Notamacropus eugenii: one gene and its partner. The protein of the gene in region 1 interacts with the protein of each later gene in a biochemical or structural test. Links are inferred from orthologs where the notes say so. Each region holds a gene or a part of one and is shown on either strand. Other genes may lie near its edges. The genes, in order: CACNA1A and CACNB4.

Region 1 (15,499 bases):
TGGGTGAGGCAAAGCTCCTTGGCTCGTATCTTGGCTGCTATGTCAATCCCCTGCTGGGCTGCATCAAGCAGGTGTTCCTCAGGGCTGGCTCCTCATTCTACTAGTTCTCCTGATCTTTTGGAGCTCATAATCATCCTCAATTGCCTCTTTCCTCTGATTGAAGGGCTGGAGGGTGGAACAATAAAAACTCCTCTCAAAGCCTTCTTTTAGGGAGAGCTCAGAATTTTCTAGCTATCATCAGCTGCTTTGCTTGATTTCAACTCCAGGAACATCGTGCCTCCTCCAGGATGAGCTCCTAACCTGAAATCTCATCGTCATGCAGATTGACTCAGTTCTGATACTCAACACCTCCTCAGCTCCCTCAGCTGCCTCTCCCCTCGGATTGGAGGGCTGGACGTGGAGCAACAAACTCCTCCCAAAGCCTTCCTTTATAGAGGGCTGAGAACTTTCCAGCTAACTTCAGGTTCTGAGCTGCTCTGCCTGGTTTCTGACGCCACAAACATCATACCCCACCCTAGGCATAGTCACCCTAGTGACTCCCCTGCCTTACCCCCTTTCAGCTGCCTTTTGTGTATTTTCTTCCCCTACTGGATTATAAGGGCAGCTAGGTGGCACACCCCAGAGTAAGGAAGATCTGAATTCAAATCCAGCCTCAGACACTTACTAGCTATGTGACCCTGTCATTTAACCCTGTTTGCCTCAGTTTCCTCATCTGTAAAATGAACTGGAGAAGGAGCTAATAAAACACTTCAGTATCTTTGCCAAGAAAACCCTAAATGGGGTTGTGAAGAGTCAAACATGACTGGAAACAACTAAACAACAAAACATTAGCTTGAAAGCTCCTTGAGAGGAAGAGTTATCTTTTTCTTATTTGTATCACCAGTACTTAGCACAATGCCTGGCACATGCTTTATTAAACACCTATTAAATATTTATTTACGGACTGATATGGCTTCAGTCTTATCCTTTCCATCTCACTACTCATTCACCTAAGAGCTGGGAAAAATAAACATAAAGAGGGAAAAAAACCAGAGGCGCCATATGTTCACAGCCACATGTTGGCCTGAAAGGGGAATACATCATTGGTGCTACCTCTTTTTTCACCTGGAGGCAATTTCTTCTTCTATTACCACCAGGAAAGAGAAAGACTAAGTTTCTCTATTGGAGCCTTCTGTATGAATTCTCATTTTTGGTTCAGCAGCTAATTAGAGAGATAGCTAACTAACTAGAGAGATGGACAGACAGACCGCATTTATTAGGCACTTACTACGTGCCAGGCACCTCCACCTGAATATTTTTTCCTCGCATGGTTTTCATAAGATGTCTTTCTCCTAGTTTTCCTTATTCCTGTGTGATTACTCCTCATTTTTCTTTGTATCGTCTCCTCAAACTTACCTTCACATATCTCAACTTCCTCCCCTTCAGTTCACTCACAGAACTTTGACATTCATTCATGCCTTCATGACCCCTTTAAAATAGCCTCCTCTTGGGTCTCCCTGCCTCCAATCTCTCCTCTTTCCAATATAACCTGCACACAACTGCAAAATTTGTATTCTTTTTCTTTCATCTGTCAACACTTTTATTATTTTTCTTTGTAAAATTTTGATTTTTATTTCTTTTTAGTTTTCAACATTCATTTCCATAAGTTTTAAATTTTCTCCCCCCCTTTTTCCCTTTCCTTCTCCCCAAAATGGCATGCAGTCTGCTATAAAACTCTACATATATATTCCTATTAAACAAACTAAATTTATATTCTTAAAACAGATCTGATCAAGTCACCCCTCTCTATACTCCACACAGCCAATAGTTCTCTACCGCCTCTGGGAGAAAATATGAGCCCCTTATTCTGGCATTTAAAGTCCTCCATAGTATGGCTCTTATCAGCCTTAATTTCCTGTTACTTTCCTTTCTGCACTCTTCATTCCAGTCTTACTGACCTACTAGCTTTCTTCCATGGACAGTTCTCTATCTCACTTCTTCTTTAGATAATAGAATTCCCAGCTTCTTTCAAAACACAGCTCAGGCACCATCTCCTATATGAGGCCTTTCCAGACATCCTTCTTAAAGTTTCTCTCTCTCTCTCCTTCCCTCCTTCCCTCCCTCTCTCCCTCTCCCTCTCCCTCTCCCTCTCTATATATGTTCTCTCTCTATTTTATATGTATATATATATATACTCTCTCTCTCTCTCTCTCTCTCTCTCTCTCTCTCTCTCTCTATATATATATATATATATATATGTACGTATATATGTATTTACTTATTTGGGTCCATGACATAATTGCTCCCCCCAGCTCCAAGAAGAATATTAGTTTCTTGAAGGCAGAGACTTTGATTTTTGTATTCTGCCTTTGTCTACAGGGCCTTGCATATAGTGGGTGCCTAATAAATGTTGAATTCAATTGAATTCATTAGGTGTTCAATAATAGTGATGAAACATCATGGAAGGGAGCTGTTGAACTCTATGGTCTTGCCAGCATCCAGTCTCATTTTCTAATACTGTGAGAACGTTTTTTGGTCAATAATGAGTAGATAAAGGCAAGCATAGAAGGCCCATCAGATGTGAAGGTAACACAAAGCTAGAAGAGATGGCTAACAGTTAAAAGACAGTATAATGCAGAAGAAAGAGCTCAGGAATTAGAGTCCAGGGACCCGGTTTCAAAGTCTAACCCTGTTGCTTCCTGCCTTAGTAATATTGGGTAACTCACTTGACCTCTTTGGGAGTCACTTTCCTGATGTGTAAAATGATCCTTTCCAGCACTAAATCTATGACTCTTTGTAAGAGAATTAAAAAGTATCCCAACAGGCTAGGAGAATGACTGAAACAAGTAAGGCACAATTTAATAGGGATAAAAATAAAGTATTTCAGTTAAAAAAATCAATTGCATAAGTACATTTGGGAAGGTGTGTGTGTGTGTGTGTGTGTGTGTGTGTGTGTGTGTGTGTGTGTAGCTTTCCTTAGCATTCATTGCCACCTTTACTTCATTTTGGGCTATTGGTATCCTCACAAAATTGGTACAGCACCAATGTTACGTGCACCCCTCATCCCTTAGCTCTTGCTCTCTCTCCTCAAATATTTCTCAAGAACTGTCTGCTATCTCTTTTGCCCACTTCACTCTCTACCTTGTCTTATTGTTATTCAGTCATGTCCAATTCTTCATGACCCCATGGACCAGAGCACATCAAACCATTCTATCCTCCACTATCTCACAGTCTCCCCAAGCTCATTTGCTGTTTTCATGCCACTATCTAGCCTTCTCATCCTCTGCCATCCCCTTTTCTTTTTGCCTTCCATCTTTCCCAACATCAGTCCTTTCCAATGAGTCCTGTCATCTCATTATGTGACCAAAGTACTTAAGTTTCAGTTTCAGTCCTTCTAGTGAATAGCCGAAATTAAAGTATTGACTGATTTGATCTCCTTGCTGTCCAAGGGACTCTCAAAAGTCTTCTTGAAATCATTAATTCTGTAGTGTTCAGCTTTCCTTCTAGTTCAGTTCTCACAGCCATATATTGCTACTGGAAAAACCACAGCTTTGACTATATGGACCTTTGTCAGCAACATGAAGTCTCTGCTTTTTAGTGTGCTGTCCAGATCCACCACAGCTTTCCTTCCAATGAGCAAGCATCTTTTAATTTCATGGCTACGGTTGCCATCCACGGTGATCTTTGAGCCTAAGAATATAAAATCTGACACAATTTCTATTTCTTCTCCCTCCATTTGTCAGAAGTGATGGAACAAGTTGCCAGGGTCTCAGTTTTTTGGTTTTTTCCTGTTAGGTTTCAGACCAGCTTTTACATTCTCCTCTTTTGTTTTTCCCTACTAGTGCAGTAGAATTTCTTGAGGGCAAGGATTGTTTCTTTTTCATTATCAATCACTTTTCTTCTCTTTGATACTTTCTTCTCTCTAGGTTTTTGTGACATTACTCTCTGTCCTAACTTTCTGATTGCTCCTTCTCAGTCTCCTTTGCCGCATCTTCATACATGACATCTCCACTAACTGTAGATGTCCCTCAAGGCTCTATCCTTGGCACTCTTCTCTTTTCCCTCTATTTGATTTCACTTGGTGATGTCATCAATTCCCATGGATTCAATTATCATCTCCATGCAGAAGATTTTCAGATTTATTTGTTCTATTAGCTGTGCATATCTAAAAATGGACATCTCAAAGATATCTTATACTCAATGTGTCCAAAATGGAACTCATTATCTTCCTTCCAACACACACACCAATGCTTAGCGCAGAGTCTTGCATATAGCAGGCATGTAAACACATCTGTTGCATTCAACAGATCCACCCTCTGTTACCTGTCAAATGTGATAATATTTGTAAAGCACTTAGCAGAGTGCCTAGCACATAGAAGGTGTTTCATAAAAGTTTATTCTTTCCCCCTTCCTCTTCCTAACTTCTACCTTCTATACATAGCTCTTAAAGATATGCCTTATTCAATGAGTTCCTTTTGCAACTACACTGAGACAGTTCCCCTTTTTCCTTCTTATCAAAATTCCATTTGTATCTTCAGCATTCAGTTTGCAAGACTTTCCTGCCCTGTTGGGTCTGTCTTATGTTTTCAAATTTTAGCCTGTTCAGTCTTATCTACCCTTTGAAATCTGCTCTCTCAAAAATTTAGGGTCCATATCAGATGATGCTGAGATTTCCCTTTTCTCTATCAATGGTTTCTAAGATGGAGGTTCTGGTCTTTTCTACATCAAACCACACTGCTGTATGCCTGTGAAACCTAGACAGTCCTTGACCAGTGCCAAGTCAGGAAACTGAATCGCTTCCATTTGAATTGTCTTAGGAAGATTCTGAAGATCACCTGGCAGGAGAAGGTACCAGACACAGATCCTTACTCAACTAGAATGCCAAGCATTCAAACTCTGCTTCAAAGACCACAACTCTGATGGACTGACCACATTGTTGGAATGTAAAATATACGCTTGCCAAAAAGGCTGTTTTATGGAGAACTTACACCAGGCAGGCTTTCATATGGTGATCAGAAGAAGAGATAAGAGGACACTCTCAAGGTCTCCCTTAAGAACTTTGAAATTGGTTGTGTAACATGGGAGACACTGGCACAGCACTGCTCAGCATGGTGTGCCCTCACCAGAGAAGGTGCTGTGCTCTATGAGCAAAGCAGATTGGAAACAGCTCAAAAGAAATGCAGGATGTGAAAATTTAGAGTATCCACCCCAAATGTTTACAGGGACTTTTTGTGCCTAACCTGAGCATTCCAAGCTCCTATTGGTCTGATCAGTCACAGTCAGACACATTGAAACGGGACTCTAGCACAGTGATGTCATTTTGATCCTCTTCGAAAACAAAGGACAACAGCCAACCAGTTCTTTCTTTTTGACTAGAATCCAGTCAAGAGTAACAGAGTTGCTTATGATTTCCTCTCTTCTTTGAAGAATGAAAATATGAAAAGAATCAAAAATCTGTTAGTATTCTGTTTTTGTGGTGGTGATAGAGCAATGGGCTTGGACTAAAGAAGACCTGCGTTTAAATCCTGTCTCAGACACCTACTAGATATGTGACCCTAGGCAAGTCACCATGCCTGGCACATGATAGGCATATGGTAAGCATAGAAATGCTTATTTCCCCTTCTCTTTTGACAGAGAAAGAGTTCTAGCAATTGTTCAGCATTGAACCTATAGAAACCTTACATCAACGTGCTGTTTCATGTCTCCATGCTCATTTGTTACCCCAAATTCTTTGTTAATATTTCATCCTTCTGTCCAGGTGGTCTGTGGTATAACCCCACAATAATATGACTTTTCTCGCGCCTTCTGTTGCTCTTTATCCAAATGCTCTCAATCATGCTTACCTTATCAGGTTCTGGAATTTCCTCACATATGAATGTGAGTTTTTATATATAATCTTTATATATAATCACATATGAGTGAGTTCTTTATATATGTATCTACTTTTCCATCTTCTTTGTATGTAATACTTCTCCATTTTCTGTTCTTTTTGAATAAGGTATGCCCTTCCAGAACATAATCCATTCATGAGTCCCATCCCATCAACTTTCAGTGATATCTGTGAAGGGGCAGCCTTCCCCAGGAGGACGTTAGGAGTGTGTGTTCGTCCTTCCTTGCCGAAGAAGACCATGCCATCAGAGAAATGATGACATGACTTGCACTTGACTTTGTTTTGAGTGAGGGAAGGCTGTGCAGGTCACCAGCCTCACTTCTCCTCCAGAGTCATCTGAATTCGGTGACCAGATATTCATCAGGATGACTGGAGATGACCCAGGATGAGGCAATTGGGGTTAAGTGACTTGCCAAGGTCACACAGCTAGTGAGTGTCAAGTGTCTGAGGTGAGATTTGAACTCAGGTCCTCCTGACTCCGCACTGGTGCTCTATCCACTGTAACACCTAGCTGCCCCGCATTAGGAGTGAGGGAGGAAGAAGACGTGCAGCTGCCAGTGAGGCAGTCCTCAGAGCCCAAGTAGGTATATGGCGGCTGGTCAGAGGACTTCCTTAAGGATGAATGAACCATGACTCACTCCTGCCATCATTGCCCTGGAACAAAGCCCCAGTTTCTATACTTGAGTTATAACTATGCTCTGCAGATATATACGAGCTGCTTTTTCTGCCCCCTTCCTTTAACATTTTCAGTCTTGCCTTTATTTGTTAACCATGACCTTGGGAATGTTACTTTTTATATGTAGGTCTCAGAGGCAGTTGAGCTAGATGCTTTAAGATGATAGATAGTTAGGAAGAGACCTTAAAGGTCATCTTGTCCAACCCCCTTATTTCATAAATGTGAAAAATGAGACCCAGAGAGGTTAAATTACTGGCCAAAAATCATACAAGACAGTAAGTAGGAGAGCCAGAATTAGAACACAGCTCTTTTGATTCCAAATCTGTTATATCATGTCAAAGGTGGTCTAACTCCAAATCTTGTGATTTTTCTCATTAACTCACATTACATGCTCATGGAAGAGAAAATTAGAGATCATGGAAAACAGTTAATAATCCTAAAAAATAATTTATTTTTGTCCATATACTTTTAAATGTTCACATATTCACACAAAGATTGCATGGATTCACCCTTCTCTGTCCTGTTCTCCTTCAACTACCTCTTGGCTTAGTAATATTTTCTGTAATTTGATTGCATCGCTCTGGGGAAGATGGGTCCCTATGGACAGATAGCCTAAAAAGAATAACCCAATTGCAGAACCCAGGTAGAAAAAAACCCACTTTTTTATGTTAAAAAAAATAGTGAGAAGCGAACTGGATTTAAAGTCAGAAGATGTGAGTTTGAATCCTAACTGTGTCATTAACAATCTATATGACCTTGAGCAAATAACTCACTCCGGGTATCAGTTTTTTTTCCTCTATAAAACAAGTGGGTTGGACTCAGGGGTCTCCAAGGCTCCTTCCAGCTCTGACACTTGTGAGTTGAGAATGAACTTTTCTTTGAAACTTCTGACCTTGGGCAAGTTAACTTACCTCCCCCAAAGTCCTCTAGACCAGGGGTGAGAAACCTGTGGTCTCAAGGCCATATGTGGCCCTCTAGGTCCTCAAGTGTGGCCCTTGGACTGAAAAAGTTTGGATTAGGTCTAAAGGCCACACTTGAGGACCTATTTGTTTTGTGAAGTTTGGATTCAGTCAAAGGGTAGCACTTGAGGACCTAGATGGCCACATGTGGCCTTGAGGTCGAAGGTTCCCCACCTTTGCTCTAGTCAGTTAGGGAGTGTAACCAGATCATTCCTTCCAGACCTAACATTTGAAGCTTCCCTAGTGACTCTAGGAAAAAAGACAGGACTTCCCAACCCTTCCTAGAGGTCCATATCAAGTCAAAGTAGGCCTGTCCCCCAGGTAGCTGCCACCAGGTTAATTATGGGCTACTAGGAGATTAACCATTTCCTATTTCTTTGCCTAGGAGACCTCTGACGGAGACAGCTCATAGCCCAAAGGTGGTCCCTTTGCTACCTATCTTGGGTGCTAACATCTGACATCGAGAAATAGACTATGGTTGGCTATTGTTTTTCAGTTCGGAAGAGAAACTCCAGACTTCCCAGAGGGGTTTGGCTTTTATTCTTCTTTCAAGGAATGTGCCTAGTTTCTTTAGAGCTCAAGCAGGCAGTATCTCTACACTTGATTCACCTTTCTTCAGCCCTCCTCCCACCACACCCCTCCTGAGGCCAGGGACTGGGAGAAGCACGGCACTGTACCACTACCACTGGGGTTCTTGGGGGAAATGGTGAGAGAGGAAACGAAATCTTCCTTCTAGGCTTTCTGAGGGGGAGGGGAATTTGTCCCAACTTCCCCTCTGCCTCCCCATCATCTCTATCCCCCACAAACTCTGGTGGGTTTGGTCGTGCAGTACCTCCTATGATTGGTCCCCAAGACATCATGTGCTAAATATTTGGGCTGCTCTTTCCCACATTAAATTGATCAGTCGCTGCTCATTATAGCTCAGCCTACCAGTGGTTCAGACCTTTTCTCCCATTTTTTTCTCCCACTCTTTTCTCTTTCCTTCCCTCTTGATCCATCCCCCCTTCTTATTTTAGCAAATTCAAAAGAAGGAGGAGAAATCTAGCGGGGAGGAAGGGGAGGTGGGAAATGCCAGACATTGCAGCACCCCAGCAGTGGTCATGACTATAGATGGTGGATAGCACACACTCCTTGGGCTTTCAGGTTCGGATTTTACCGAATTTCCTTGCTGCATTCAAGCCCTAAGATGATGCCGAATTGAGACACACGCGCGCTCGCGCGCGCGCACACGCACACACATCAGGGCAGGAGCAGCAGCCGCGGGTGGGGATACAGGAAGAGCAAACAGCCCTGCGTCTTCAAGGAGCCTAACGCGTTCTTCCGAGCATCTTCCCTCACCCCCCTCCCCAGCCCCTCCAACCCCCCAATCTTTTCTTTTCCTCTTTTCCAACCCCCCCTTTCCCCCTTTAATTTGTTTCATTTTTTCTACATATATTTCATATATTTATTTATTTAGGGCTCAGAAGCAAATGCTCAAGTGATATAGAACGGGGGGGGGGGAAGGGTATTATCTGCTGGGTTTTCTTTTCTTTGCAAAGAATACATTTTATTGATTTATTTTTTTAAATGATTTTTTTGCGGGAGAAGATAGAACCGCACTCAGTTGCAGAGAGAAATCATTTTTGAAAAATGCAGTCCTGACCGGGACATCGGAGGGATTGAAGGTTGCATCGCGTTCCCGGTTGGGGGGCCGCTGGGGGTGGGGGGGTCCGCATTTCTTTAAAAACTGTCTATGTGGCAGCGGGATCTGGGAACCTAAGGTGGATTTTTTGGGAGGAAATTGACCTTTTGGAGGGGGTGGAGAGAGGTTTGCCTTGATTTCTTCATCAGGTATTATTTGCGTTGCTTGTCTTGCTCCCCCACCCCATCCTCCACCCCCCTTTCCCCCGTGCCCCGCCCCCGCAACCTCTCTGCCCGCCCCTCCTCCCCCCGAACAGCAAGGAAGATGTCCCGAGCCGCTGCTGGCCCCTGCTCTGGCCGGGCTGCTGCCTGAGCCGCACAGCGCCCGCCCCGCCGAGCCGAGCCGCCGCCGCCCGATGGGATGGGATGTGGAGCTGCTCCGCAGTAGCAGCAGCAGCAGCAGCAGCAGCAGCAGCAACCTTAGCAGCAACAGTAGCAGTAGCAGCAGCCGCCTTAGCAGCAGCAGCAGCGTCCGCCGCAGCATCCGCCGCAGCCTCGTAACCCTCGGCCCTTTCCTCTTTGCAGGATGGCCCGGTTCGGAGACGAGATGCCAGCCCGCTACGGGGGAGGAGGCGCCGGAGGAGGCGCTGGGGCAGTCGTGGGAGGTGGAGGCGGCCGGGGTGCCGGGGGCAGCCGGCAGGGAGGACAGCCTGGGGCGCAAAGGATGTACAAGCAATCCATGGCGCAGCGAGCCCGGACCATGGCTCTGTACAACCCTATTCCCGTCCGACAGAACTGCCTCACGGTCAACCGGTCTCTGTTCCTCTTCAGCGAGGACAATGTGGTGAGGAAATACGCCAAAAAGATCACCGAATGGCCATATCCTTTGCCAAAGACCCTCTCACCTGCCACTCCCCACCTCCTCTCCCTTCTCCTGCCCTGCCCTCCCTGCCCCCACCACTTGCATGGCCACCCTAGTTTGAAAAAGGAATAGGGCCCTAGGGCAGTGGGTCGGGAGTCAGCCTGCTTGGGGCCCTAGTCAAGAGTAGGGAATCAATCAGAGGGTTGGGGGCTGAAGAAGACAAGGGGGTGGTCATAAGAGGGAGCTGCTTTGGAGGGTTAGGGTTTTGCCAGACCAGACACAAAGCTGGAGCTACCATGTTGCTCTGTGGGGAACTGGATTACTCTTAGTGACTCAAATTAGGGCTGGGCAGGCCAGGCCATTGCACTCTCTTCCACCCAATGGGCTAAGATTGCAGAGGGGAGCTCTGGCTGGGGCTTTGAGGCCGGTTCAAAAAAAGAGTCGTTTGGCCAAGACAGGACAGGAGCCTTTGAGAGAGGGGAGCCTGGAGGAAGAAAGAGGGGTCTTAGTGGCTGTGCTTTCTCTCTGCTTCTTCTTTTCCTTGATGAGTGTTAGATACCAGAAGCTCATCAGTTGTAGGCCAGTCCAAAGGAGGACCAAGTGAACTCTTCACTTTCTGTGGTCTTCATTGGGTTGGAAGAGAAAGGACAGGGGGGCAAACTTGCTTTATCCAACTGCACCTGTACAGGTAGAGGAGGAGAAGGGAGACCGGGGACCATGTGAAGTCTACATGGAGATTGTAGGACTTCTTGCTGCACCCAGTTAATATGGTATAGTATGGTCCTAGATGCTTGGTCCAGATCTGTGAAGTAGTGTATTTGTATATGGGTGTTACTGCTATATGTCTGCATGCGCAGTTAACATATTCACTAAAATGGTCCTTAGAGGTGTTGGTTGCTATCATTCAACTTGGTAGGGCAAGCATAGATTTCCTCCTTCAGCAGAAATCTGACATGCCATCTTCTTACACTTGCCCATAAAAACCCAGTTTGGGTCATTGTGGTAGAGAAGGGAAAAGAAATCAGGCTACCTGGGCTCAGCTACTTATTCCTAAGACCTCCTCCCCTCCCTTAGTGATACATGCTACTTCAGGTGCCCTGGCGGACTGGGTGAGAGAACTGAAAAATTACCATCCATTTGGATACACCAACTTTGGTAGGTATAAATACATTTTTGTTAAAAAAAAAAAAACAACTCAAGGCTAAGTGGTTGGGGACCACATTTTTTCATTGATCCTCTATCAAAATGTACCTCAGAGTCTATCAGACCCCTTTGGACTTGTCTCTCCTTGAAATGGGGCTAGAGGAAGGTTTAGCATCACTTGAGCTGTATGTAGGGACTGGTCTTTGATTTGTTGCATGGGTCTGTTCAGTCTCATAGCAGGTCCCTAATCATGACCTAGATTCCATGTGAGCAAATTTGCTGGAATTGTCATGGTTAAATTTTCATTGAAATATGTTCGGTTTTTTTTAAATTTAAGGTTCCTCCTAGATTCTCTTATGATAAAAAATGGTCTGTGTGGTTGCTTGTGGTTAAAAGCTTTGGGTTTAATTCCTATTTGATTTTGATCCTAGAGCTGAGTGCTTTGCACCCACCAGGAACAGGCATATGCCTGAAGCCTACTAGCAATGGTGGAATGTTATTGGTGGGCCAGAGATTGAATGGAGCTGCTGACTTCTTTGGATTGAAATTTTAGTGGGGACCATAAATGTTTGAGGTGAATAAGTTGATGAGAACTCAATTTACCCCAAGGGCTGTGAGAATTAGTTGGTTCATTGGGAGGTCATGGGGGAGGAAGAAAGAGGGAGGAGATTACATCCCTAATCATAGGAATTCTATGAAAATTATTGATGGAAAATGACCACTATGATTACACAGCTCTTCAGAGTGGTTCCTGAGGGAAGAGCCTCCTAAAATGGGAAAGGTATTGCCTCAAATAATGGCTGAGGATTAACTAGTCAAAATGGTTGGAAATCCCCTTCCATTCCGGGGATTTCTGATATGCTCAGTAATAATAGTTCTGTTTAACTTTTCTTACCCAAACTTGGGAAGCTGGAGGTTAATAAAAGGTGGCTAGCACTCAACTGGAATTTCAGGAGCTACATCCTGTAGCCTTTTAGAACATGTGCTATGCAACAGTGGTTTTCCTGCAATCCCCTCTCTTTTGGAAGATTGCTTTGGGAACAGGCACAGTACTGACATGTTTTAGGAAAGAAAATGGTTTAAGTTCCCTTTTTCAATCTGATTTTGAAGCTAAAGGAAATGAGGGGAATGAGAGGCTTTATCCCGTGTCCTTAACTCGCCTCTGCCTAACCTAGATCACCTAGTAAATATCCCTGTTGAACAGGGGGACTTCAAAGGGCTTACCTAAAGGAAGGATTGCAGCTTGGCAGTGCAAGGCTAGAGCACAAGCCTTCATTTGGAATGCCATTGTTTGCTTTGGTGAGCTGTCCTAAAGCTCTTTGTAGCCTCAAAATCAGGTTTCCTGCATTCTCACTTGGCAGGTTGTGTGTGTCATCCAATTGCCCATGAGTGGTAAAGATAGTACTGTCCCCTCCTGAGGTGGAAGGCCTTTGCAGACAGATTTAACCAAGCAAAAGGGCATTGTGAGTGGAACACCCAGGACTAAATCCCAAGGCCTGAGATGATTTTAGGAAAGGTTGTGGCTAGGCACAGAGAAGTAGGATCATCCGCAGTGTGTTCAGTGCACAGAGAATGGAGGAGCCAGTGACACCCAAGGCTGTATGCAGACTCCAGACATTGAAGTTCCCAGGATGGAACATGGATTTGTCCACCACTCAAAGATACCTGTCATTGCTTGTTAGGTTGGATCTTTTATCTGATAATATCATTTAAGGAGGGCTGCTGAGCCAACTAGGGAGTGTGTTCCTGTCTGACATGTGGAATAAAGAGGACATGTGTGTTTTTATAGATAGAAATGTAAATCTAAGTCCAAATGCTTGCAGAAAGCTCTGATCAATAGAGAATGTTGTTTTCATAAGACTTAGAGCTGGGAAGGGTCCTGAGATATCATCTTCTAGGTATAGTAATCCCCATATTTTACTGATTTCGAGACTGGAGCTGAGGGTGGTAGCGTGACTTGTACTGAGGTCACACATCCAGTCAGTGGCAAAGCCAGTATTCGAATGGTATTTATTCATCTTATTCCAGGTTCAGTTCACTTTCCAAGACAGGGAGCCAACCTTAGAATTACTCTACCTTTTCCGTTGCCTCCTGTCACTCCCTTAGCACCCCACTCCCACCCTCTGAAGCCTGTAAAACAGTGAATTCTTCCCTTCTCAAAATGTAGAAAACTGAAATGAATAAAAGTCATTAAAATTGTTGCTTACATTAGTAATTTCTGTGAGTATACTGTTTTTCTGGAAGTAGGCTAACTGCATCCCCCTGGTATGAAGATTTCATCTATTGGCACGCACATTTAAATATGGTCATACTGGTCCCCAATGACTCCCAAAGAGTTTAAATCTGTCAGCTAACTAACATACAGCTGGTAACTTTGAGCCGGAGCTTCCTTTTCATGCTACTTTGTACTCTGAATTTCCTAGCAAAGCAAGCAGACTTCACTTCCTATTTCTAGGTCTGCTGATGCCAGCAGATCTCCAAATGAACTTGTCAGGGGGATTTGTCCCTAGAAGGGATGGCAAATTCAGGCATCTGTGTTTTGACGTAGTTGAGCCCTTCACTAACGAACCTGTGGTTCCGGTTTTTATGTTCATGGGAAGCCACAGAAATTGAGTTGGAAAGGAGCTCAGAGATCATGTAGTCCAAGCCATACCTGAACAAGAATCCTCCCCTACAACATTTCACACAAACCATTATCCGGTCCCCACTTGACGACAAGCAGTAATGGGGACTTTTGAAGGCGGCCCATTTGATTTTTGTACAGCTCTGTTAGGAAATTTTTCCTTTCTAAATTCTAAATTGAACTCTTTCCAGTTTCCACCCATTCCTCTTGGTCCTGACCCCTGAAGTCAAGCAGAACAAGTCTAGTCCTTTTTCCTTATGATTGCCCCTCAAATACTTGAAGACAACAACTGTGCCTTTCCCCTTCCCCCAACCTTCTCTACAGGCAGGCTTTTCAACTGATCCTCCTGTCTTTTTGAACCCTAGACATGTTGACCCCAGGATTTTTAGGAAGCCTGATTGATCAAAATTTACAAGGCACATTTTTTTTAAAAGCATAGATTAGAATTCATGACCCAAATGGGAATCTGAGAGAATCCGTGATTCTAAGGAGAGAGGAGCCCGCAGGTTGCTAGTGAATTATTGATGTGTACAGAGTAGATGCAATTTCTTTTATTAGATGCAGAACTATATAACTTCTTAACTTAGCTTGACTGGCTTATTCAGAAGGTAAAGCGACGAGGAGTGAGTTAATTTATCCTATTTTGTCAGGGAAATGACTTTTTTTTTCTGCTCTTGTTAAAATGATGGCAATGATAGGGTTAGGTCCTAGCTAGTTAAATTGGAGAAAGTGAGTAAATTGGTTCTGAAATGCATCTTTGCATCAGTACAGAGGAGACATGGATGGTTTTTAAACAATTGCAGTGCAGTAGACAAGATTCTCAGACATTAGGCTAATTAGTTCTGCCTCTATTGTGAATTAAATAGTGTTTTGAATGTTGTGCTCATGGATAATTTATTATTTCCTAAAATTGATAATAATTGTAGTCCTTGACCCTAATGTAAAGAAACTGGATTGTGGGTGGTAGGATGTTCATGGGGATGAAAAGGCTCACACCAAAGATGGACTGGAAAAAAAAATTAGCGGGAGAGGCATGCCAAAAATTGGAAAAAGCATGAGAGCCAAATATTTATAATTCTGTGGTGAAGCCAGCTTTCCAGAGTTTGGATTTGTTATTTTTCATTTGGGGACCATTTCGCCCTCTTGAAGGTGGTTTAGTACCTCCATTCCATTTCTTTATCTTGAGCACTCATGCTCCAGAGTACTTTCTTGGCTTTGGGGACACCATGACAGTGAATGTCCAGAGGGCAGGAGGCAATACTTTTCTGTACAAGTTCATTTGTTCTTTTTGCAAAAGGTGGGGGATGTGGGGAAGAGGAAGGAGGCATCTCCAGATTTGCACTAGAAAAGCTACAGCCACCATGAGAAATAAGAAAAGCAGCTAGAGAACTTGGCTTCTCAACATCTGGACCCTAACTCTGCTGTCTCCCTCTGTACACACACCCAAAGAAGACGTCTTTTCCTCATTCAATCATGGAGTCATAGGAATTAAAGCTGGCAAGATGCTTAGTAATCTTCTGTTTCAGCAGTATTTCAGTAGTGACAGATGAAAACTGCAATAATTATAATGAATACCTTTAGCTCACATGAGATAATAGAATACGATGTGTATTAATATTGGACAAGAAAGGAAGATAATGAAGTGGGCTTCTTACTGTGCAGTGGTCACTTTTCCCAAACTTGTTTAAATTTTGATGGAAAAAAAGGTGGGGGAATTTATTTGTGGGAGTTAGTGGTGGTGGTGGGG
Region 2 (15,672 bases), on another chromosome or scaffold:
ACAATTTAAGTAGTGTGGGGGCAATAGGGGTCTAGAGTCTCAGGGCCTTTTCTTGGCTATGTCTTGAATGATCAGATTATGGCATCCTGAGCACATCATTCCATGTCTCCAGAATTCAGCTTCTTCATATGAGTTTGAAGTAGATGATCTATATTCCTTCCAATTCTAGTATTATGATTTAAAATTTGTGGATGAACTCTAGTTCCTCTGAGATGCATAAACACACATACATTAGATTCTCTTGTTTTATATCAGAAACTTGTCTATAATGCTAAATCAAAATTATAGCACAGAAGGATTCAGTACCTTCATTGTATATTAGGATTTTACCTAGACATCAAACTCTAGTGACCAGAAGAGGTGGGCTCACCCACTACCATTGTGTTCCGACAAAGTTAGGCACATGCTATATTGGGCTCTGCCCAACAAACCAAGTGTATATGATTGGTTATCTTTAGGCCTTCCTGAACTGAGTCAACTTCTCAGGGAATTCATCTTTTTTCCCCTGGAAGTCATAAAGAAGGTCCTATTCAATTTAATAAATATTGGTTAAGTGCCTACTATGTGCCAGGCAAAGTACTAAATGTTGGGGATATAAAGAGGCAAAAAACAGTCCTCGCTCTTTAAAGAGCTTATAGTCTAAGGATACTTATCTTTCACTACAGCCTAAACTTTCAAGGCAGCATATATCCTAAAGCCTCCTGACCCCTAAGCATGTCTGACATCTTGATTTCAGATATTCACTGCACTCAATCCCATCTGCAAATGCAAATGGGGACTTGGATCTGGCTGGCATCCACTCCTTTCTATTCTTACCCTTGTTCATCACATGCTTCAGATCACAAGAGTGGTCTTACCAAGGTTTATTTATAAGGGATAAGAGATCATGCATATTCAGGACTATTATACCAGTGTAAGATAATTAGAAGTTAAAAAAAAATACCTTAGCCCCAGATAAGGTGACACTGGAAACTTCCTAATGTATTCTATTCAATTAACTGCATTTCTTCTAGCCTAACTTGGTCTATGACTCTTACCAGACTCCCTCATGAAGCCAGGGAACACAGCGTCTTCTAGCCTCCAAATCTGGAGTTGACCCAGGTGGTCAGAATCGGTGCTCAGAATTGGATTTATTGGTCCATTATAAAATCCCAGTTTAATTCTTAGTCAATTAGGAAGCTGCTTAATTTTACTACTGAGTTTTTGTTAGACTACCCATATTGCTACGTAATTACTAGCTGGCTTGCCTCTCAGAGCAGGGGAGAAAATAGATTTTTAAAAATCAGACACTATTAAAGTTTATCCCTTGACAACATGACCTCAAAAAAAAGACAATAATTTGGAAGGAGAGGACCTGAGTTTAAATCCAGGCTCTACTACTTTCTATATAACTTGAGTCAAGTCATTCACTCCAAATTGTGGGGTTTTTAGGTCATGGAACAAACTTTATGTGATAGTTTCCAATTAGAGTGGGAGCGGTGTTAGCTATCTCGTAATCCCATAGTAATATGAGTGGACCGAGAAAAACTCAATAATTTCATCAGCTGACCTCATTATATATTAATCTCTTTCCCTATTCAAGGGTCCAGTCAAATTGGTCTTCTCCCTGTTTCTCACATGTGTGATTCCTAAAAAAAAAAAAAAAGTCTGTATCCCCAGCACTTAACACAATACCTGAAATGTAGTAGGAGCTTAATAAATGTTTATTAATTGATTGATTGGTACATGGTAAGTGCTTAAAAAACTCTTGCTGAATGACGATCGCATTTTCCCCACCTTTAAAACAAGGCAGTAAAGCTTGATGACCTCAAAGGTGCCTTCAAAGTCCAAATCCTATGATCTTCCTGTCATAACTAGATCACAGAATTAGAATGCTAGAAGAATTCTTAAGAGTTAACAAGTTAATTCTTCTGTGTTTAGGTCAAGCTGTACAATCTATTTCAAAGATTTCCAGGAAAATTCCGCAGTCTTCCCTAGATATCCAGTATTAATATCTGACAAACTTCTTGTTAGAAAACCCCCACCTTCTCAAAAATAATTTTAATCCATCCTTCTGCAATTTAATGATTTCAGATTATCAAAGTAAAGTTGAAAATCACTATATTAAGGAACCTTGGCAGGGTTCTCTCTCATAGGCTGCACAAAATTAATCCTCCCAACATTTGCAAAAAGAAATCTTTTGCAAGCTTTCCTTTGGATTCTTTGCAAGATTCTCTCTGAAAGAAAACTATTCCCAAATTCCAGAACTCAGAGTTGACTCCTGGTGTTGTAACAAAACAGGAAACAAAGTCAATATTACCTTAGGGAATTTGGGAAAGCACACTTAGGAGATCCTACAAAAACTAAAAGATGGTCACTGCAATTCTTTAATTGATTCTGTGAATGTTTTCAGGTCTCTGTGCTATATACACATTTACACACATACACTTAGTTTTTACAACAGGCATAAGAAAAAGAGATTTTATTTGATGAGGGCTTCCCATCAAGTAATCTCAACTTCATTCCCAGAAGGTCATTCTCCATTCCTCACTGCCAACTCCATTCTCTCAGCAGTGAAGAACTGGCTTGAACTTAAAGCAGACACAATTGAATAGATCTCTAGATGGAAACACAGACTACATAGAACCTTTACATTTTGATTCTAAGAGTCTTAATCATACCTGAGTTCTTTAGGGGAAAGTTACTTCATAAGCCAAAAAGCCCAAAGCAGCAGAAGAAGCAGTGTTGTTTTCAACATTAGCAAGGTCTTTTCTGTGCATATTACACAAAGTTCATGGAATTTCCACCAAAAAAATCTCATTACTCCCAGTGTTTCAAGAATTCAAATACTAAGAATTCAGTCATTCAACAAATGTACTAAAGTAACTAATGTTTTCTAGGAACTGGCACATGGTCTTTTAATAAGATACTTGTTATTTGGTAGGGCCACTGCTCAGTCTAATTCCATAAGGTCAAGGCAAATTCATGTCACAATTTTTGGTCTCTTCTGAAGAAATATGAAATTTCTCAGCTTTTGTCTTGCAGCCATTTTGGTAGGCATAGCTATGCTGAGCAGAAAATAAATCAGAAGAATGGATAAATAATCTCTTGTGAATCAAGTTTTCTATTTTTTTCTTGGTTTTTCAAGCTAACACAAATATCTTCTAGATTTAAAGAGTCCATTTTACTAAACCAACAAAGTCTTTTTCCAGAAAGATAGCTGAAATATCTTTGACAGAAATATAAAATGTATATCAGATAAAATTAGCCTGAAAATCATTTGATAAGCAGCAGTTTGGGTTTGTTTGTATTTTTTAAATAAACTTGGGGGAGAAAACCAGAAGCAGAGAAAGAATATTGATCTTTGTGCTATAATCAGCAGCTTGCAATAGAAGAATTATGGGTGAGTGAAGTCGAGATACAGATAAAAAGGAAAGTTTGAGCCAAATTGTTCATGGGATGCCATGGTAATATGAAAGAGGTATCACTGATGTATAATTAGGGCTTCCAACAGTTTGCATCAATAAAACACTCCTAAAAATAGGCATCTACAAAATAATACCAGAAAGCACCAAAATATTTTCAACGCTCAAATTCTTTCCAAAAATGAACATTTACGTTTTTTTATAAATAAATGATGAAAATGAGAAAATATCTAAGTGAATCCAAAATGTATTTACCTACTGAGGACTCATAATGCACATCTAAATGCTAAAAAATGGTGGAATGATAAAACCTCTGTTTCTGAGAAAACAGATGCGTTACACTTAAGTAATCTGTAAATAAACCTCAAACATGACCTTTAGGATAAAGTTTCCATTTGATTTTTTTAATATCATACGTATGCAATGTTGATCAGCCACCTTCAACTTGAGACTAATTTTAAAAAAATGAAATTGACTGACAATCTTAAGTTAGAAACACATCACACAAGAAACTGAGTGACCAAGGGGAAATGTAACTTCCCAAGGTCATGTCAGCAATCCACAGCAGAGCAACGGATAAAGAGCCTCCTCGTGCTGATGACCAGATTCCTGCAGTAACTCCAGAGCACACATCATGAAAGCTGCTACACTGGAGTCAAGGTGACTCACCTTTACATGGTCTCTTCAAAAAATGTGGCATTCCTGGAGTGTTTCATTTGCCACATATTTATGATAAAAATGAACACAGTGACAGTTCTCCAAAGTAAAAACTCTAAACATTCATTTTCCCTGGCAATAACAAACATCATAAACCCAGTCCATACTCCAATTCCAAAAGACAAGAGGTACTAATAGAAACTCTAATCAATAAGATAACTGTCCGTCGGATTTCTCCTACTACAATTTTATCCAGATTTGAAAACCTTTTTTTAAGTAAAAGGGAGCAAAGAATCTTTCCTAAACTGAGAACAAACTTTCAGGAAAATTAGCTTCTCTGGTTCTCCCTCATGACCTAGGTTGAGTGGTCTAAATGAAAGACATCCCTCAGCATCCCAGATGACTGCCTATGACCCAAATCAGAAGAGGTCCCTGTCCACAACTGTTTTCTGAATGTCAAGGGAGGTCACATCCTCCGAAGATGCTTTTCCAAACCCAAGAGAAGACAGAAACTCTTCCAGTTCTGGGGCTCACAGTCCTCAAAACATTCAATTGCCTTCTTTCCTGAGCCTTTGAACTCTTTCTCTTTCGACACACAAAACTAACTCTAGTGTGGACTAAATGTAGTTCCCGAATTAGAAACATTCTTCCCTGAAACCGTAAGATACAAGAATTGGACTGGGGAGAGAAGTGAGGAGGGGGAGACATTGCGAATCGCAGAAGGAAAAGAGAACGAGAAGTTCCAAAAGCCAATCCAGAAAGAACCAAACAGCTCCAGCCCCAGGCGGGCGTGTGTTTGTGTTGTCTGCCTGGGGGGGGCGGGAAGGACCGACAGCCACCTTCCTACACGTGGAGGCGGCCGCGAGGCTTCCACTTCGGAGCCCGCCCCCGCCCCGTTTGGAGAGCCCCGACTGCCGGGCCGGGAGCACTGCTCCCTCTTTCTCGCCTTCTCTCTCCCTCCTCTTTCTCCTCCTCCTCGTTCTCTTTCTTCTCCTCCTCCTCTCCCTCCTTCCCGCTTCTTTCCTACCTGTCTAAGGATGAAACTGGTCGAAGTGGTACTGCCATCGGATCGCTTCAACCTGCTCCTCCGGGTCGTGGTGCCTCTGGCCACCTGAACTCGACAAGGTAAGAGAAAAGAGGGTGAGGGCTTGGGTTAGGAAAGGGACCTGCGGCTAAAGCAGCAGGGTCACCGGCCAAGGAGTGAGAGGGCTGACCATTCATTCATCCAATCCGCACCAGCCCCAGGCAGCTCCGGGTCCCAACCCCGGAGCCCAAGTATCCCCCCAAGAAACACACACACACACACACACACACACACACACACACACACACACACACACACACACACACACACACACACCCCACACGAAAAAGGGGACCACAAACACCCACCACATCCATTAACAAAGATTCGAAGGAGCTGGTTCAGGAGCTCCCAGCATCGGACAGGGGGAGGCCAGCCGGCTCCTCTAGCTGGAGCGAGAGACTGAGAGAAGGAAAAGAAGGAGGAGGAGGAGGGAGGGAGGGAAGAAGGTAAGGAGGGGAGAAGAGAGGGAGGAGAAAGAGAAAAGGGGGAGGAGGCAAAAGAGGAGGTAGGGAGCGGAGGCTGCTGCTGCTGCTGCTGCTTCGCAGGACTTGGGGTACTGCATGCCAAGAAGCAGATGGAGGTGGTTCCGAAAGCTTGCGAAGGAGGAGGTACCTGCGAGCCGGGGGAGTGCCGCCCGTCTGCAGACCCGCTCTGGGTGTAGGAGGACGACGACGACGAGAGCTGAGACATGGTTTAAAGCTGCATGGCCTGCCTGCCCCTACTCACTCTGGCCAGCGGGCTTGGCAGGGGCAAGACCTGAAGAGGAGGGTAGTGACTTCCCTGGGCGCAGCGGCGGCGGCAGCCAGAGCAACCACTGCTGCCAGCCTGCCTGCCAGCCTGCCCGCCAGCCTGCCCGCGGGGCTGTGGCTCCCGCCTCCGGGGGTACCTTTGCTCGAGCAGCTCCTTAAAGCTACAGAATCACTTTCTCCCACACCAAGCCAGCTGGGCTCTGGTGAAAGTGGCACAAACTCGAGGCACAATGTGTTGGGAAGAGGGAGAGGGGAAGGGAGTTTCATCAAGGATTTTGCTGCCTGATCCTACAGGAAAAAAAAAGGTTCAGACTCCCCCCACCTCCACCCGCACAACCGAGCTTTCCAGAAGATGGAGTTGGGGGAGGGAGATAAAAATACTGCACAATTTTACATGAGAGACAAAGGAGACATATTTCATGAATCAGGGACTTAGAGATAGAGACTGGTGCAGTGTAGCACACAGCTGAGAGAGCAAAGGTGTGTGTGTGTGTGTGTGTGTGTGTGTGTGTGTGTGTGGTCTGCTATACAGAAAGTATAAAAGGGGAAAAGATTTCTCTGATTTCACTCGTCAGCCTTTTCTGCTGATGCATGGATTTTTGTGTATTTTTTTTTTGTCTGACTGATTTGTTTTGTTTTTGCAAGCCTGGCTTGCTAGCCAAAAGTCACTCAACATAGTAAGCAACAATGGAACAAGCTGCCAGCCTAAGCCTGTATGGGGAAGCCAACCCTGCATGAGACCATGTTGTCCTAGGAGTTTTGAAGGTCATGTTCAACCAGCTAAAGTAACACTTGGCCACATGCCTTTGTGTACTATATGCAAGGATGGCCATTTTCTAATGTGTAGAATTATCTAAAATGCATATGCAACCTTTAAGTGTCTAATTCTTGAATTAGTCCCCAAAGCACAAAGAATTGTGCTTTACTTAAAATTAAAAGCATTGGAGGCGGCGACATGCTTAGCAACTGTGGGAAGCAAGGAGATAAACTAGGGATCCTAAGGAGAGAAAAAGAAGTAACAAAAAGCCAGACATTTTTTTTTTTGCGTGCTCTGTTTTCTCATAGACTTGCAAATCTATAAATATTACATAGGAAATCCATTAAAGCAGACATAGTAGCTCAGATCACTAACCCACTCCATCTTTGCTCTCACTGTTCACCTTGCCATCTGTGATTTCTTGATGGAATTACTGTTTCATTTTTTTTTTTTAACAATTGTGTAGCTATACTGATGGATCAAATTACACATATTATCTGTCTGTCCATTCCTATATCTTCCTATTACCCTAGTCTACCTGAATAGTCAGAGCCACAGGGTATCAAAGGGAGGAGAGGAACTTCTTGTTATTCAGTCCTTTCAGTCATCACCAACTCATGACCCCATTTAGGGTTTTAGTGGCAGATTCTAGAGTGCTTTGCCATTTCCTTCTCTTCATTTTACAGATGAAGAAACTGAGGCGAACAGGGTTAAGTGACTTGCCCAGGATTAAACAGCTAGTAAATGTCTGAGGTCAGATTTGAATTCAGGAAGATGAGTCTTCCTGACCTCAGGCCTGGTACTCTATCCACCTAAACACTAGGTATGGGGCATCCCTCATGTTACAGATGAGATTAAGGTCTACAGAAGTTTATTGATTTATCCAAGGTTACACAGCTAGTTAGTGGGAGATCCATAACTAGAAAGTAGGGCTCCAGGTTCCTTTAAAAAAAAAGCATATTTTCTCTTTGCATTACAGTGGGATCGCTTACTATAATGTAATTTAATGACCCCCAATTTCATCAACACAGTGTGACAAAGTCTTAGTGAATGCCTCAGCATGTACCAAATCTTCATTACAGTAACATAATTCACAGCTTAGTAACAAATTATTCGGGATATGGATGGTGATTAATATGTATAAATGTGATTTCATTTATGGGAATCTGCTTGTGAGAAAACTCTCAATACTTATCACAGTCTTTGAGAGCTGCCTGAGTCACTGAAAGTTAAATGACTTATTCAGGGTCACACAACTGTATCAAAGGCAGATGGATCTTCCTCACATGAGATTCTGTATCCACTACTCCAAGCTGCTTGTGTGTGCACTGTGTGTCTATTTGTTGAATTGTGTGACTATTTATTGAGAAGTCACATAGAATTTAGAACTGCCCAAGTGACTTTCCTTTAGAACAAATCTAGTCATGTCACTCTCCTACTCAATCAACTCTGATGGCTCCCTATTGCCTTTAGCATCAAATATCAGCTCCCCTATTTAGCTTTTAAAGCCTTGCACAACCTGACAACCACCTACCTTTCCAGCCTTATTGAGCATTTCTTCCCCTTCCCAAGACCCCAGGTGATCTGAGTTTCTCTGGACACTCAACATTCTACCTCTCATCTCTACGCCTTCACAGGTGCCATTCCCCATGCCTGAAATACTGGTTCACCTCAAAGGATCCCTCTGCACCTTGAAGACTCCTCTCAAGCACTACCTTCTACAAAGAAGTCTTCCTGACGTTTCCCCCAACTCCTGGTACCTTCTTTCTATACTACCTTGTATTTAAACACTTTGCTTTTATTCTCTTTATATTTATTCTGTAAATACTTATATGTGTACTTGTTGCCTCCCTCATTAGAAGCTCCTTATGAGGAAGACTTTCATCTTTCATATTTGTATCACCAACCCCTGTGCCTGGCACTTAATAGCCACTTAAATGCTTGTTGACTGATTTTTGACCCTGGGCAAACAGTATCATGAGACATCTTCCCTGATCTCAGAGAGTTTACAGACTAGTTAGGGAGACAAGATATGGATCAGTGGCAAAGGATAGGCAGACAATAAGTAAGAGATTTTATGACTTACCATCTTTTTTCACTGTTTAAATCATTCTCATCACTAAATATACTCTTTGTGGTAAGGGTCAAAATAGTCCTGATATATTTCTGCTTATTAACTCTGAAGTGGTCGTACTTTTTTAAGGTAAACTGTATGTCATTAGGGACAGTTAAATGGTACAGTATATATTTTGCATGTACTTCTGTATATGCTGTTCTCCCTGAGTAGAATTAAGCTCTTTGAAGGCAGGGCTATTTCATTTTCTACTTCAGTGTCCAGTATCTGTTTAATAATTAACAGCAAATGAATGCTGAATTGAATGTCATCTTTTTCCTGTTAGCAAAAATAACAGAGTAGGTTGCTTCCTGTAACTAAAATAAAAAACCTAAAAAAAAAAATGCAAACCTCTTGGTATGTTAAAAAAAGAAACAAATGGTGTGGAGGTACCTGGAACAAAGGGTCCTCTAAACAGATGCTATAAAATGTGAGCAATATCACCATTCTTTTTCTAAATCTTCAAGTTTGATAATTTTCAAATTCAAATTTAGCTTACCTAAATTCATATAAACCATTTTTCTTATGCTTCACTTCCCAAACAGGGGGAAAATATGCTGACTTTCAGTTAATAAAGTAATACAGAACCCCCTCCACAGCCCTCATCCCATTACACACTACTAATGTATTAGTGCAAGGAAACATCAGGAAAACGCCCTTCTGTCAAAAGCAAATGATGGCAGATCAGTTTTATTATTTGTAAAAATAAGCTTTCCCACCAAAACGACATTGTCAAGAATTACTCCCTTCGTTGTCAGGAGCTTTTCAAATTTATGTCCCTTAATAAGCAACAACTAAGAAACAGAAAAAAAAAGTCCACAGCTTTTAAATGATAGTTTTCTAATTAAGTGGCCTCAAAAAATCTGATTACTAGAATTTCTGTCTAGAATACGTATGATACAAGTGGCCAAATAGTATAAATTGACTTATACTTGAAGTTAAAAACGGAATATCACATATGTTTAGGTAATTGTATAAACTGCCAAGTTAAAATTTTCAGGTTTCAAATTATCCAAAATGGAAGAACACATACCCAGTTTTAGTTATTTTAACACCCAGGAACAAATTATATACATTAATAAAATTAATTTTATTATAAAGTTTCAGGAATTCTTTCTAATGTAACAAGGTTGCATATGAAAAAGCAGAAGCGATTTATTTACTCCTGATATAAAACAGTAGGTATGTACTTAATGTAGAAATCTTAAGTTAGACAATTCCTTTGGCAGCAAACATTTAATTATGAACAGGACTTAAAATAAATACAATACATAAGATCGTGAAGGGGAAAAATCCCTATAACGCCTATAAACACCAAAAAAGCATGTAAAGACAGATACAATAACTTTTTTTACACTATCTACAAACTGGATAAGTGGATTTACACAATACACATTATAAGAAAAGAAATGGTATGCCAAATATAAAATTGTTATTTTTAATTTAAGAGAAAGTAAATACATCTGCACATGTATAAAATCCCACAGACAAATGCCCATATACAATATTTATATACATTTCACATGTTATAAAGAACTAAATTAGTCCAAAACTGCATTAGTTTAATTCTTACTTGAATGATCCAAATTTAATGGATAGGGTAGTATCTATACTGGCTCAAAGACTATATTCGATTAAACTTTATTCAGATATTCCAAATTACAATCATACATGAAGAACTTACACATAAACACTAAAATAACTTTTATTAAATATTGTTTGGAAAAAGTATAAGTTCTTCCATGTTTTCAAATAGTAAATATTAAGAACAGCAGCTTTTCAAATAAACTGTTTATTTTTTTTTAAACAGAAAAAATGTTAACAAAAAGTTAAGGTGCCATTTTAGGATACGTGTGTGTAGATACACACATATATTTAACTTCACATGAACAGAAAATATGGAACGAAAGTCAGAATACGGGGCAACAAACACTGAACATTTCTTTCCAGTTATGTGTACCTAAAATAAGACAATGATTTGGAGTAGGCTTTCAAATACTAATTTGCCTTTTTTGTTTCCCTCTGAATGTAAACCAAGTATTGATCTCTTTTGTTCCAGGATATAGTCATTTTGAAAAAGGAGCACATTACTAAATAATTCCTTTAGCTAGATAAACAACAACAAGAAAGTTTGGTGAATTACCACCAAATAATTTTTGGTAGAAAGGATTATGTATGTAAAAATCACATATAGAAATCTTGTTTCCATGCAAATAACTATTTTTATTACTAAAGTTATGACCATTATTTTTCCCCAGTGTAAACATCAGTTATTCATAATCATATTTATGGTTATTTTCTATTTTGTGTCATGTGAAGAAGCTGTTAAATGAGAAAGTAGTGTGCAAATTTTCAGAAGGGACAAAAACCCCCACGTTCTTGAAATATATTACCCAACTCCTATAGTCTATAGGAACTACGAACACTATAAAACCACCTAAAATTTAGGTTTCCAGAAAACTGTCTTGGTAGTTTATTTGTTAATCCACTGCATGCTATCACTCCATGTGTTCAGAATGATGAATTAAAAGTAACATCCAATATTTTAATGGGGTGACAAAAGTGACATAACGATGATACTTAAACCACATTTTGAAAGGTTAAAACACATTAAACAGAGGGCACATGCCATGCTTAACATACAACACTTCAAATGATTAGAGTCCCTTGACACCAAGATAGTTATCAGGGAGCCTGATTTTCTCTCCATGAGAAGTTTCTAATCCATGTCAAGCTCCTTTTAAAGAATTACGGACACTTAACATGCAAGAGAAATCCATACGGCAGAGAGGGCATAAAATTAGGTAAGGTCTTCGTGAGGGAATGGCTTTATTGGCCAAAAAAAGCCATTATGACAATTCTCCACTCTATGGACCCAGGAGGAAATTAAATGCTTTTCCCTAGCAAAGAGAAACAAGATTTAGGGGTACTCTTTAGCCTACTGTTGGTAGGGCTGTTCTTCAGAACTAAGTGTTCCTTTCACATTTTTCTATTTACAATGGTCCTCATACTGTAAAACAATTTTCATCTCCCAATTCAGGTTTGCTTCAACAGATAATGATGTTACTAGTACAGTCAAAGCCAAATTTTCAGTAGCGCAAACAAAACTGCCAAGTAGCTAAGGCAGATGCTTTCAATGAAAAGATGTTCAAATTTTGGAGTAAGAATGTGGAAAATGCTAAACCACAATACTCAAACAAAATATTATTTAAATAGATCAAAGTAGCCTCCCAAGTACATTTTGAAAAGAAAGCATTTTTTTAAGCATGTCAGACTGACAATGCTAGAAGAAGAAAAAAAAAAGACTGGCTAATGTTCAAAAGACTACTCAGTACTTGTTAAGAAAATCTATATGAAACTCTTTAAGCTAGAGTAAACTAACTCAAATTATCTTTAAGCCACCTCTGAAAAAATAGTCTAACATAACCAGTACTTCAAAAATTGCTTCATGTCAGGGGGGTGGGGAAGTAACTGAGATTTTTGTGCTTTACTCATGGTCCTTCTGAGTTGAGAGAAAAATGGTTGTATTTTTATATCATTCTTAGATGACTCAAATCACAAGGGTTGAGCAACATACTTATGAATGTTTTCAAGACTATGCCTGATCTGCTTTTTAAAGGAGAGGTTGCTGATGATAATTTGTTTGCTGTTGTGCAACTGAATGAGCTGGAACTGTCACAGGCAAGCCTGCTACTTGAGGCAAACTGGATGTAGTGTTCTGATAAGATGACATATCCACAGACATTCCCATCTGCTGTGTGTAAGAAGCTGGAAGACTAGCTGATTGAAGGGTAGAGTTCTGGTTCATATATCTGGGATTGGAAACTGTATCTACTCCAGTACTGAAAACAAAGCAGAAAAAAAACAATTAACTATTTCACTAAGAACAAGTTGTTTTCTTATACAAAATTCCAGGCAGAAAGATCATTTTAACAAAATAGTCTATCATTTTGCAGTATGGTATAGAAACAGAGCATTGGACGGTGTCAGGAGACCTGGCTTTCACTGCCAGTTCAGATATCCAAAAGCTGTGGGCTTGGACAAATCACTTCCCTTTTCAAGACCTCAGTTTTCACAACTATAATGAGGGGATGGACTAGGTAGATGTTTTCCAATAACCTCTGAAGTTTCTTCTAATTTAAGCACTCATTGTTACTTTTCAATGATTTAGCTTTCAAAACTCAACAAGCATTTTGTTCTAAAAGTTAATTATTCCTATATGAGAACAATGGACTCTTTATTCTGGATGCCAGTTACTAAAAACACAAATTTTAATATGCAAAAGGAAAAAAAGGAATTAAGAAAAGACAAAAGATATGTAATTTTTTTTCCTCCAATGATCTTAATAACTTAGAAAGCCAAGCCATGCAACTACAGTATCATTCTATTAGCTCTGATTTTGGTCTCAGGAGGAGGAAGTGGCTTTAAAAAAAAAAGGCCTTAAGATCTTAAATACAATCAGCTCATGAAGAGCCTCCCCCATACCTACTTTATCTCTATTTCTCTGGCATATAAATGTTTTCTGTGGTAGACAAAGGTTTTAATACCTGTTCCCAGCACCAAACTACTTAAGACAGGACTAAGTTTCACAATCTTCTAAGGATGGCCATGGCCAGGGGACTACATCATACAGTGATACAAAAAAGAAATCTGATAAAAAAAAAAAATCACCCCTAAAACTAGAATATGGGCTTCATACTTCATAGAACCACCCCTGTTAAGAACTAGGACTTTAGAGATCTAGTCCAACTCTTGTCAGGTCATAGATGGATGTGAGCTCCAAAAACGTAATATGGCTTGCCCAAGTCCACAACTAGTAAAAGGCAGAGTCAGTATCAGCCCCAAGGACTTTGATTTTGTATAGTTTTATGGTCTTTCCATTACTCCACATTTTGTCCTTTGAGAATACTTCTCCCCCACCCAACCCAAGAAAGTAATCTCTCCTTTTGACCTATCGGAGCACTTTTTTTCAGTATCAGTTCAGTAGCACTTATCACAATTTATGTTATATTATTATAGTTACAGGTACAGGTCTAATCTCCCAAATATAAACTGTGGGCAGAGACTAACATGTGACACAGCCTTGCTATCCCAACAGCAACTAGTACAATACTGTGGATACAGTAGTTGTTCAATATATTAAATCAATTTCACAATTCACTTCAACAAAGGCAGTTATTAGGGGCCTTTTATGAGCAAGGCACTGTACAAGTTTCTAAGGAGACAGACAAAATGTCCCTGTCCTCATGTAGCTTATGTTCTCCTGAGGATGTGACATATGAAGCAGGATATAATATATACTTTTGTAAATACAAATACAAAGTAAATACAATATATACTTCACTAAATACAAAGTAATTTCCCCAGAGGGAGAGAGTGTTAACATTGGGGGGGGGGGGGTGGAAGGGAGAAAGGGAAATCAATAACGGTGTTATGAAGAAGATGATACCTGAGCTGTGCTTTAAAAGATGTTAGGGATTCTAGCAGTGCATAGTAACCCACATATGCAAAGGCACAAAGGCAGGAAAAGAACACTGTGTACCAGAAAAATGGCTAAAAGGCCAGTCTGACCACAACAGATAGTATGCAGTAAGACAAGAAAGGTAAACAGGAGTCAGATTGTGGAGGCCTTTAAATGCCAAGCTGATTTTTCTGTTTAATTTTAGAAGCAATTGGGAGTCAGTGTAGCTTTCTGAATTGGGGACAGATGGAGGAATGATATCAGATCTGTGTTTGGGTTATTTTAACATGGGAGCTATGTGTATACACACAGATTACAAAGGTGAAAGACTGAAAGTAGAGAAGCCAATTAAAATGTTATTGTGGTAGGGCAGAGACTGTGTGTGTGAGGTGAGAAGGGGTATGAATGCAGCAGATGTTAATGAGACTTGTCACCTGACTCCGTAAGAAAACTACTGGATAACGAAGAGCTGAAGATAATTCTACTATGAGATGATTAGTGTGTAATGGCCCTCCCAAAGCAAACAGGGAAGTGTGGAAAAAGCATGGGTTTGGCAGAAAATATACTAAGCTCCAATTTGTACATGCTGACTTTTAGATCCTATGGGATGTCCCAGGGGAGATGTTCAGTGGGCAATTGCTGGGGCTGTAGCTCAGTAGAAAGATTATGATTGGATGTGCTGACTTGAGGAATGCCCATGATAAATGAAAAATTCTAAAACCAAAATAGGTTTTCTCTACTACTGGTTGTACTTCAATTTATTTATGCATTTCAGAAGGTTTGCAGTGCTGCCCAATATTATGAAAGTTCATCTTAGACGCAATCCCAAATAGGCACTGGAGTATTTAAAGTAACACCAAAAAGTAATTTAAAATAATCAGGGGATATAGTATTACAGAACTTAAGGGAAAGAATCACAAGATAATCTGCACAAATGACAACACAATTAACATTTTGGTAATAGTTTAGGCAATTCTCTAATTTAAGGCATCAAGACTTATTGATTTTTAGGGTACTGTACATGGAAGGAAAATTTATCTACCCCAAATTTTGCCTACAAAAATGAAGAAATTTGAATTGAAATAGAAGAAAAAGTGGTTTAACTACTTTTTGATTCTTTGGCTCCTAACAACCAGCCATTATAGATGCCATACTTGATTACTTAGGATGGTTAAAGAACAGTGCTGAAGAAGAGGACATGGTCTCGGGCCGGATGTTCACAGGGACATTGCATTTTGTTCTGTTCCAGGACTGTAAACTACACTGACCAAGGGGAACCAGCTCACAAAGAGAACACAAATCTGTAATTACAAATCCGTATAAAAAGCTAAAAACAAAACAAAAACCACAAACAATTGGACTGTATTATAAAGGGGGAGGGGAGCTACAAAGTTCAATTCTGACAGTCTTAGAAATTCATCTATTTGAGAAAAATACTAATCTT

What was found.
Region 2: the proteins of CACNA1A (region 1) and CACNB4 form a complex in vitro, tested with the Homo sapiens proteins (2 studies listed by BioGRID). The link is inferred for Notamacropus eugenii from reciprocal best matches to the Homo sapiens genes CACNA1A and CACNB4.

Annotation. Positions count from the first base shown.
Region 1 is NC_092875.1:77,442,055-77,457,553, forward strand, and holds the start of CACNA1A (voltage-dependent P/Q-type calcium channel subunit alpha-1A), read left to right. Parts: upstream 1-9,435; 5' UTR 9,436-9,710; coding exon 9,711-10,003; intron 10,004-15,499.
Region 2 is NC_092876.1:209,345,446-209,361,117, forward strand, and holds the start of CACNB4 (voltage-dependent L-type calcium channel subunit beta-4), read right to left. Parts: upstream 6,516-15,672; 5' UTR 5,839-6,515; coding exon 5,761-5,838; intron 5,707-5,760; exon of another isoform or gene 5,463-5,706; coding exon of another isoform or gene 5,454-5,462; intron 5,446-5,453; exon of another isoform or gene 5,173-5,445; coding exon 5,089-5,172; exon of another isoform or gene 5,054-5,088; intron 1-5,053. Other genes in the region: STAM2 (signal transducing adapter molecule 2), read right to left, coding at 12,381-12,609. UniProt on the Homo sapiens protein: The beta subunit of voltage-dependent calcium channels contributes to the function of the calcium channel by increasing peak calcium current, shifting the voltage dependencies of activation and inactivation, modulating G protein inhibition and controlling the alpha-1 subunit membrane targeting.